Nothobranchius furzeri: one gene and its partner. The protein of the gene in region 1 interacts with the protein of each later gene in a biochemical or structural test. Links are inferred from orthologs where the notes say so. Each region holds a gene or a part of one and is shown in the gene's direction. Other genes may lie near its edges. The genes, in order: rps6kb1b and pdk1.

Region 1 (4,409 bases):
GCTCCAGTGTGCTTCAATGTGTAGAATCATTTGGAGAGCAATACATTAATTTTAGGGCAGATTCAATCTTTCTGAAACTGGTAGACCCAAGTGTAGTTCCAGTTTGTCGGCTCTGGAGGGCATCAATTCCCCTCCTTGTTTATAGTCAATAAAAAAATTGAAAATTGGCATAAGTGTGGGACACAAACAACCCATTTTTAAAGGGATACTTTGCAACATTTTAATATTTTTATATCATTTTCTTGAGCCAGTATGTACTAAAATGACACTTTACATGGTTAATGAAAGGTCACCCAACCCCTATCGCCCCTGAGACCAGAATATTCCACTTGCAACTTCACAGTTGCAGGTCCGGTCTGTTGGGGCTTTTTGAGCTGACCTACCTGCCGTTGCTATCTGGCTTCAGTACATTTCCTGCCTGTTTTAGATCATGAACACAGCGGATGAGTTTAATTTAGTGATGATTCACTCCTCTAGACACTTGGGAACGCTGGGAGATGTTTCAGCTGTTAGATTCGGGTATTAAAAAGGCGAACGCACACCGAGGAGAGTTTTGGTTTCGCTTCTACAAACTGACACTAGGGGGTGCTTAAATCAAGCTAAACTGCCTAGTATCCCTTTAATGATTATTTCTGATTATAATCGGTCACTCTGATGTTTTCATGCAGGATGAACATGAAAATAGTCTTCTACTCCATCTCCTGCATAAGTTTCTGGTAACAGACGGTGAAACTCTAGGATTTGAAAATCCTGACTGATCCACGTCACAGTGTCATTTAACATTCATGGACTCGCCCATCTTGACTTACGATGGGGATGTTGTAGATTTAATGTCCGAGAATCAGTAGAAGACATCTATCTCAACTAGTAGAAGCTAATTATTAGCACGATCAACTTCACATTGAAGAAGCTCCTCCAGGCCTGTGTTGTTTGTAGAGATAAACATCCACATGCAAGTGGTAGAGGCACGTTGCTGTAAGCCAATCCAAGGCCAGATGTCCAAATATCAGGAAATAAGACTAAAACCTGCGCCTGAAGCTCAGCTGTGATTTGGGTAACTTCTAGTTCCTAGAAATGGTGCACAGGTATCCCCTCTTGTATATATGTACAACCAATTTTGTGTTTTTAAACCTCTGTCAAATGAAAACTATTATATTTTAGCATCTAATCATAAACTAAAAGAAGGCGCTTAACATTTTTCACTGCCTGTGGTCAGCTGAATGACCTATGAAAGTCTGTAAGAATGTAAGAAATTACCAAGCTAATCTTGTGCCGTCTTAGAATGAGAATTAAAACATCCAGAGAAAGCAAATAGAAACACATCCACTTGTTGTATACTCAGAAATGATTTTTTTGTGCTTTTATTTGTAACAGTTTCTGTTCTTGAGACAATAAAACAAGTTCCCGCCCCTTTGTTGTGAGCGCCGCAGTGCGCATGCTCACTATAGTAGCCGGTTATGGTGGCCGTGCATGTTTGTCCATGAGGTGGGGGACGCCTGCTGTTCCTGCAGTCTGTGACAGAGCGATTCGAGCGACTCGCTGCCATGGCTGGAGTGTTTGACATTGATTTGGACCAGCCGGAGGAGAATGTCTCCGATGATGAGAACGAGGAGGTACTTTTACGGAAGCTGTCACGGCAGAAACTCTTGACACACGGTAGCTAGCTAGCTAGCATGGTAGCTTGGCAGGAGCCACCGCAGGCCTGTTCCTGCGTGCAGCCAGAACGGTCGGGCCTCCGCACAGCAAAGTGAGAGTTACCCTTAATCGTGACAGAATTGCCTTTTCTTCTGTGTTTCTTTGGTAACAAACACGACTCCGCGATAAGCTGTTGACGCTGTCACGTTTTTAATCCATCGCTGTCATGCTGGAGTTGTGAAAACCATCCTTACTTGGCCAAAGGTGCTGCGGTGATAAATGCGGCTCCGGGTGCAACAGTTTATTTTGGCAAGATGTGACAGAGTGGGACTGTGTGGGCTGAGAGGCTGGCTGCCCGTTTGCTTCTGTTCAAACAGTGATAGAAAAGGCAGAGCTACCGCAGAGTCACGGAGCATAGATGGCGCTGGTTCAAGGCATGTTTTTGTACATCTGCATGTCCCAAACAGGACAAAACCCTCACTACATAGAGAAGTCGGTTCAGCAAACACATTAAATGTTCCCTTTTGCTGATTAGTCTTTGATTCCTGGTGATTTTACTTAGTAATGTGAATATATTTGGACAAAAAAGTGAAACAATGCAGATATTTTCTGTATAAAAAGCTAAAAATATTCCAAGTCGCTAATTAAAAGCAAATCATTTTGAACTGAAATAATTTTAGTTTTGTTTAAGTAGCGTAGACCTACAAGGTGTAGGTGTACACACAAAAAAGCAGTCCATGCAAATTACAATCTAATAATACATTTATTATAAGTGACTTTATCACAATATGTTTATAAAATTGGCATTTTCTTGAACTTAATGTTTTAAATTTTAAATTAAATTCAACTCTAAATAAAATTAAATTTGAGCAACCAATGTTTTATTTGAAGGCTGCAGAGTCACCAGAGGATATTTATCTTTTTGAGATAAATACTTTCTCAGTTGTTGAGTTATATAAATAGTAATGATAAACAAAAAAGTCAATTAAAGGTCCAAACGTTAACACAAAATATCCGAAATAAGACTTATTGGGATTCTTGTTTAGAAAATAATGTAAAATATCATGATCCTGAATTATTTCTCCCCCTGCCAGATTGAAATCAGTGACATTATGGAGCAGTGCGCTGGATTTGAGTTGTAAGTTTTTTTGAACATTTTACAACCAAACAAAGTTAAAAAACGAGACTCAGCGCTGCACCCTGAACCTTATTTCCGCTGCAGCGACATGGACGGCTGTGAGAAGATTGAGATCTCCGAGGACAACGTCAACCAGGGGGCGGAGAACATCAGACCGGAGTGCTTTGAGCTGCTGCGGGTTCTCGGGAAAGGTGGTTATGGAAAGGTAGGACAAAAACTCAACACGTAGTACTCCTGGGAAAGATGTGGGTGGATTTTTTTTGCCTTGGTCACCTGACCAGGGGTTTTCTTGATTACGATTATTCGAAACATGCCTTTCATTTCTTGTCGTTCAGGTTTTCCAAGTTCGCAAAGTTGTCGGAGCTGCATCGGGCAAGATATTTGCCATGAAAGTTTTAAAAAAGGTATTTAAAAGTCACGTTGGATTTTTGTTGTTGGAAACCAGCGTTTGTCAGTTTGTGTCATATGATCATTTTACATACTTTAAAAAAATCCTGACATTCCTGCTGCTGCTGAAGCCGGCGGTAGGGTTAGGCTTCACGGTTAGCTGATAGATCGCTATCTGCACCTCTCTGCTGCCGCCTCGGCTCTTTCAGCTCCAGCCCAACATCTGAAGCCACGTTGGCCCGATTAACTCACAGGATCTGCTGAAATTATATATATGAATGTAAAATATAAAGGTGTCTGTAAAAAAATCAGACTTGTATTTATGGAGAATCTCAGTTTCTGAAGCCAGCTTTAAGATGTGTTTCTTCTTAGAGAAACGACGTTCATCATCCATGGGATTATTCTGTGGTTCCAGAGCTGCGGGAATCAGAGGCTTTCACTTCTCTAAACACTCCGTTCTGAGACCTTTTTATTGTTGACAGACATCTAGTCAGCTGTCTGATCGAAGTGTTTAGTAAACAGAAATACGATCAACAGCGGTGCTGAAAGCTGAAGAGGCAGAATATTCTGGGCAGGCGCTGAAACTTTTCTAGATTAGAAGAGGATTGTCAGGTTTAAAGCTGTCGCAGGCCACAAAAATGTGATTTATTCATTTTAAAAAGGCAGTAATCATTTAAAGGTTGTTTGTACTCGGATAAGTCCAAAATAGGCATAATGGTAATAATTTGAATACAAGAATATTTGAAAATGTTACGGGACTGCAACAGCCTGCCGGAGAGAGAAACCCCGTCGTTAGAGAAAAGCATTTGGGTTGCAGCACATATGCCTGCACTAAAATAGAAATGTCGATTAAACTCCACCTTCACCGTTGTGTCTGGCTTGTTGAGCTATAACAAATAAAATATACAACAATAAAAAAACTTGTTTCTCAGTTCAGGTAATAAATTCTAAACAAATAGAAAACACAGAAGACTTTTCATTTCTAAGAGTTTAGCTAAAGATCTTCCAGGGCAGCAGTCCGTGTGTTCCTATGAACTAATGTTTTTTTTTAATCTCTACTTTGGTGTTGATCGCCAGGCTATGATTGTTCGCAATGCCAAGGACACGGCTCACACCAAGGCAGAGAGGAACATTCTGGAGGAGGTGAAGCATCCCTTCATCGTCGATCTCATCTACGCCTTCCAGACCGGAGGGAAGCTGTACCTCATCCTGGAGTACCTCAGCGGTCAGTAGCAGCTGAGCAAACACC
Region 2 (4,245 bases), on another chromosome or scaffold:
AAGTTAAAACCTCCACCCTGGGTGGTTGGAGCTGCAGAGGCGGTGGTTGCAGGGGTTCCAAAGCTGAATCCCGCTCCTGTGGCAGCAGTGGGGGCTGCAGCTGAGGTCACCTGGACTTTGGGAGCACCAAAACTGAACCCTCCAATGGACATGCCACTTGCTGCTGTCGTGGCTGTGGGTGCTACCACTGACTGAGGCTGGACTTGTGTGGGAGCACCGAAGGTGAATCCTCCCCCGCTTGGTGCCACTGTTGCTACTGCTGGTGCAGCAGCTGGGGGCTGCGAGGTTAGCAGGCTGCCTAAGGTGAACCCTGACCCGGCAGCCGGAGTTGCTGCAGAGCCCAGACTCAACCCTGTTGCTGCCGGTGTTGTCTGAGGGGTAGCAAGAGCAAACGAGGCAGTAGGCGTGCTAAAAGACAACCCCGTGCCGCCTGCGGAACTCTTGGCTGGGGTGCCAAAGCTGAAAGAGGCGGTGGGGTTGGTCTGGTTGGCATTTCCAAAGGCGAACCCCCCTCCCGGAGCTGCTGAGCTGGTTAATGTAAAACCCGCGTTGGGGGCAGCGGCAGTGGTCTTCTGCGCTCCAAAGGCGAACCCTGCATTCTGTCCGAAGTTGAATCCGCCACTCATTATCCTCACAAGAAGTTAAACACAGCCGTTACGTGTCGTTTAAAACGGCCACTTCCTTGCCGAATCTTGTGGCTTTTGGCGGGTCGCTATGACCAACTCCTCCGACTGAAGTTCCTAAAATCCCCACTGCGTCTATTTAAGTAACTTTGCACAGATACGCAGGAAATGAATGAAATCACACGCTAATCAACGTTACCTTCCGAGGAATATAGAGCCAAAATCAATAACACATTGCTAAAAACGTGGGCCTGTGAACCGACATTTCCTTTAACAGGCAATTATCTGGCCACCTAAAGGAAGTGACGACACCCGAGACGCGGCATTCTCGTATGCCCTGAATTTTGTCTGCAGGGACATAATTCCGCCTATTAATTTATTTGGCAACTGTTTTATCCAATCAGAGTTATGATTAGATTTGAGGTACATGATAGGCTCATTTGACTGCCTGATAGACAAACATTCGGAAAAATATATAGTTTGGCCTTTACAAAGAGTATGCAAAGGCAAGATAGTTACAGAATAACGAGCACTATCAACTCTTCTTCTTTCATACACACGTGAATAAAAGACATTATTTAGGACATTATCGTGCATTTATACGTCTTTATTTTCGCAATTTACCGTCAATATTGACAATAATTTTAAATACAGCCTTTCAACAGAACTTCGTGTCGGTATACGCCAGGCAACAACGATGAATCCTCTTGAACTTTGTAGTAACTCTTTGAATTAGCTTGTTGACTTTTCTGCTTCGGTGGATTTAGCAGCGATCACTTGAAGTACACACCGGACGATACACAAACATTGCAGCGCGGCCGTAGTTATGGATGCTGAACCTGCATCAATTAGCAACGTAACTGAACAATAATAAATTTAACAGCGTGTTTGCGAGCTGCTGGGTTTGCTCAACGAGCTAGTGTCGTTAAATAACACTAAGTGTGGCTCGGAAGCCACCTGCTTCCTCCGAATAACTAGTAAACCCGGTCAACATGAGGCTTCTGAGGTTTCTGAGGAACAGCGTGTCAGTAGGGAAGGATATCGATTATTACTCCAGATTTTCTCCTTCCCCTCTTTCAATGAAGCAGTTTCTGGATTTTGGTGAGATGTATTCATATAACACTCTAGGGATGTAAAAATAATTCAATGCACTGAAATATCACAACATTTCGGTTTATGATACAGAATCGATATTTAAAAGCAGAGTATCTATTATTGAGAATTTACATGCCAACATTTCTTGTATTTCTTTTGTGTGGTGCAGATCAAACACTGACAGCTAGGTGGCAGCAGTTTCTTCCTCCTTCAGTCTGACAGACCGATATCTTGCGAAAACACTGGAATTGTCTGAGTTTTCCCAGTTAAATTCACTTAAAAATTGCAAAAATAGTCAGCCTTTTAGTATCTCAATATATCGTATCGTCTCTCCTGTATAGCAACATATTATATTGCTAGATACTTGCCAATTAACACCCAGTTTTATCTCAAACTCTTCGGTGTTTCTTGATGTCTTGGTCCTGCCCCGGTTGCCTAGGAGATACGTAATCAGGTACCGCCAAGGCGTGTTCCAATCATCATGTGCTACCGAGGTGTCTGTTCTTCGTTTGTTAGCTGTTTAGCTAGCTAAGCAAGAATACACGGGAGGTGCCTTCTTTACTGGTGGTTCCCAGAATATCTAAAATTAGGATAGGAGGCAGATCTTTTAGTTATCAGGCTCCTCTCCTGTGGAACCAGCTCCCAGCTTTAGTCCGTGAGGCAGACACCTTGTCTACTTTTAAGACTAGGCTTAAAACATTTTTATTTGATAGGGCCTATGGTTAAAATCTGATGTTAGCCTACATCTGGACAAGTGGGGGAGTAGAGGTAGGTGGAGTGTACAGTCGGTAAAGACGGCTCTCCCTTGCCCTGCCTCCAACATGCCTCCATCTAAAAAGGCTAGGTTATCCTGAGTTATCTCTGTAGTTATGCTGCTATAGGCTTAGACTGGTGGAGGATACACTGACCACTTTTCACACTCTACTACTTTCTTCTACAATCTGCTCTTTAACTGTATTATTTTCTGCAATTTCAGCTATTAACTTTAATTTTTCTCTAAGTGTTTTTCTCCCCAGAAGAAGCTACAATGATGTTCTGCTGAGCTGTGGTGGCCTCATGGATGGGGCCATCGTCTAGCACACTGCTGCTAACCACTAAAACATTCTCCCTCTCCTGATAATAACTTTTTGCTTTCCTTGACGTTGGATGTGCTACTGCTAGTTTACCCATTTAATTATAGATTCACTAGGATAAGTACAATAACGTTTATCTTTCACCAAATAGAATATTTACTAAGAAATCACAATGCAACCATGCTTGGTGTGTGTGTGTGTGTGTGTGTGTGTGTGTTCTGTCTTCTTGATCCCCAGTGAGTCGTGGTGGATGGCTGCTTATACTGAGCCAGGATCCTCTGGAGGTTTCTTCCTGTTAAAAGGGAGTTTTCCTCTCCACTGTCACTATATGCTTGCTTAGTATGAGGATTGCTAACTTGATGCAATTTGCTGGTTTCCTTATATAGGAAACATTTTTTCTGATTGGATGAACTGACCTGGATTGGAATGTTTATTATGTGAAGTGCCTTGAGATTTGGCGCTATATAAATAAAATTGAATAGCCTAGCCTTGGTCAAAAAATTCCCAGAATGCAGCGTGTTATTTTCAAAAGGATGGCGGCTCAGTAGCCAGCATCTACTTTGGGGGCAAATTTCCAGTATACATGTCACGTGAAGTAAGTGTTCCATTTGACTGTTTTCTTTGATCTAGGACGCCTGGCCTCGTAAGACATCGCCATGCGAGGCCCGGCACATTGACATTGAGAAACATCCCTTATTCTATCAGAATAAAGGCAGTATAAACTTCTGCCTTCCACCTAGCAGTCAGTTTGAATTGCACCACACTAAAATATATATTAAATGTTTGCATACAGCTTTTACATGTCAATTAAGGGTCATGACACAAAATATCGCGATATTTCACATTATCGATACTTTCTTACATTCCTACTCGGTTAACATCATTAGCATGGTACCTTTTGTTGGAAAACTTCATAATTAGGACATCAATAGACCCTAACCCAGGATGATCAGATCTCTGGTGTAATTAGATATGTGTTGTCATAGGGCTGGGTGATAAATAAAAATGTATCTTATTGAAATTTCTGACTAACCAATATGAATTTTATTTTTCCATGGCAATAAATTCGATAATCAAAAAAGATGTTTGGCGAGGTTCATGTCCCTTTAAGAAGCTGGACCACATGACAACGTGACTCAAGAAATGAATGTGACAGCCCCATCTAGTGGACAACTTTTGTTTCTGCACATTCATGTAGTTATTGTCCATTCATTGTTATAAAGAATAATTCCTCAATGTATTGTAATAGTGATTTTAGGCCATATCGCCCAGCCCTATGTTGTCAGTAAATTCATCTTTGCTATTATACAGCTATATTAAGTAGTTGGACCCCCTGCTGTGATGCTGAGCAGGTTTTCCTTCTGGGTCACTGAGATCTTAAGTTGGTTATTTACCCATCCAGGCTCACATAACAAGGTGTAATTAGAAGTGAAATCCAAATTGCTGTCTTGTGT

What was found.
Region 2: the proteins of rps6kb1b (region 1) and pdk1 form a complex in vitro, tested with the Homo sapiens proteins (2 studies listed by BioGRID and IntAct, with this or other methods). The link is inferred for Nothobranchius furzeri from reciprocal best matches to the Homo sapiens genes RPS6KB1 and PDK1.

The regions. Positions count from the first base shown.
Region 1 is NC_091753.1:29,214,368-29,218,776, forward strand, and holds the start of rps6kb1b (ribosomal protein S6 kinase beta-1), read left to right. Parts: upstream 1-1,435; 5' UTR 1,436-1,544; coding exon 1,545-1,613; intron 1,614-2,729; coding exon 2,730-2,773; intron 2,774-2,857; coding exon 2,858-2,978; intron 2,979-3,108; coding exon 3,109-3,177; intron 3,178-4,237; coding exon 4,238-4,385; intron 4,386-4,409. UniProt on the Homo sapiens protein: Serine/threonine-protein kinase that acts downstream of mTOR signaling in response to growth factors and nutrients to promote cell proliferation, cell growth and cell cycle progression.
Region 2 is NC_091754.1:20,878,385-20,882,629, forward strand, and holds the start of pdk1 (pyruvate dehydrogenase (acetyl-transferring) kinase isozyme 1, mitochondrial), read left to right. Parts: upstream 1-1,386; 5' UTR 1,387-1,615; coding exon 1,616-1,724; intron 1,725-4,245. Other genes in the region: nup62l (nucleoporin 62 like), read right to left, coding at 1-626. UniProt on the Homo sapiens protein: Kinase that plays a key role in regulation of glucose and fatty acid metabolism and homeostasis via phosphorylation of the pyruvate dehydrogenase subunits PDHA1 and PDHA2.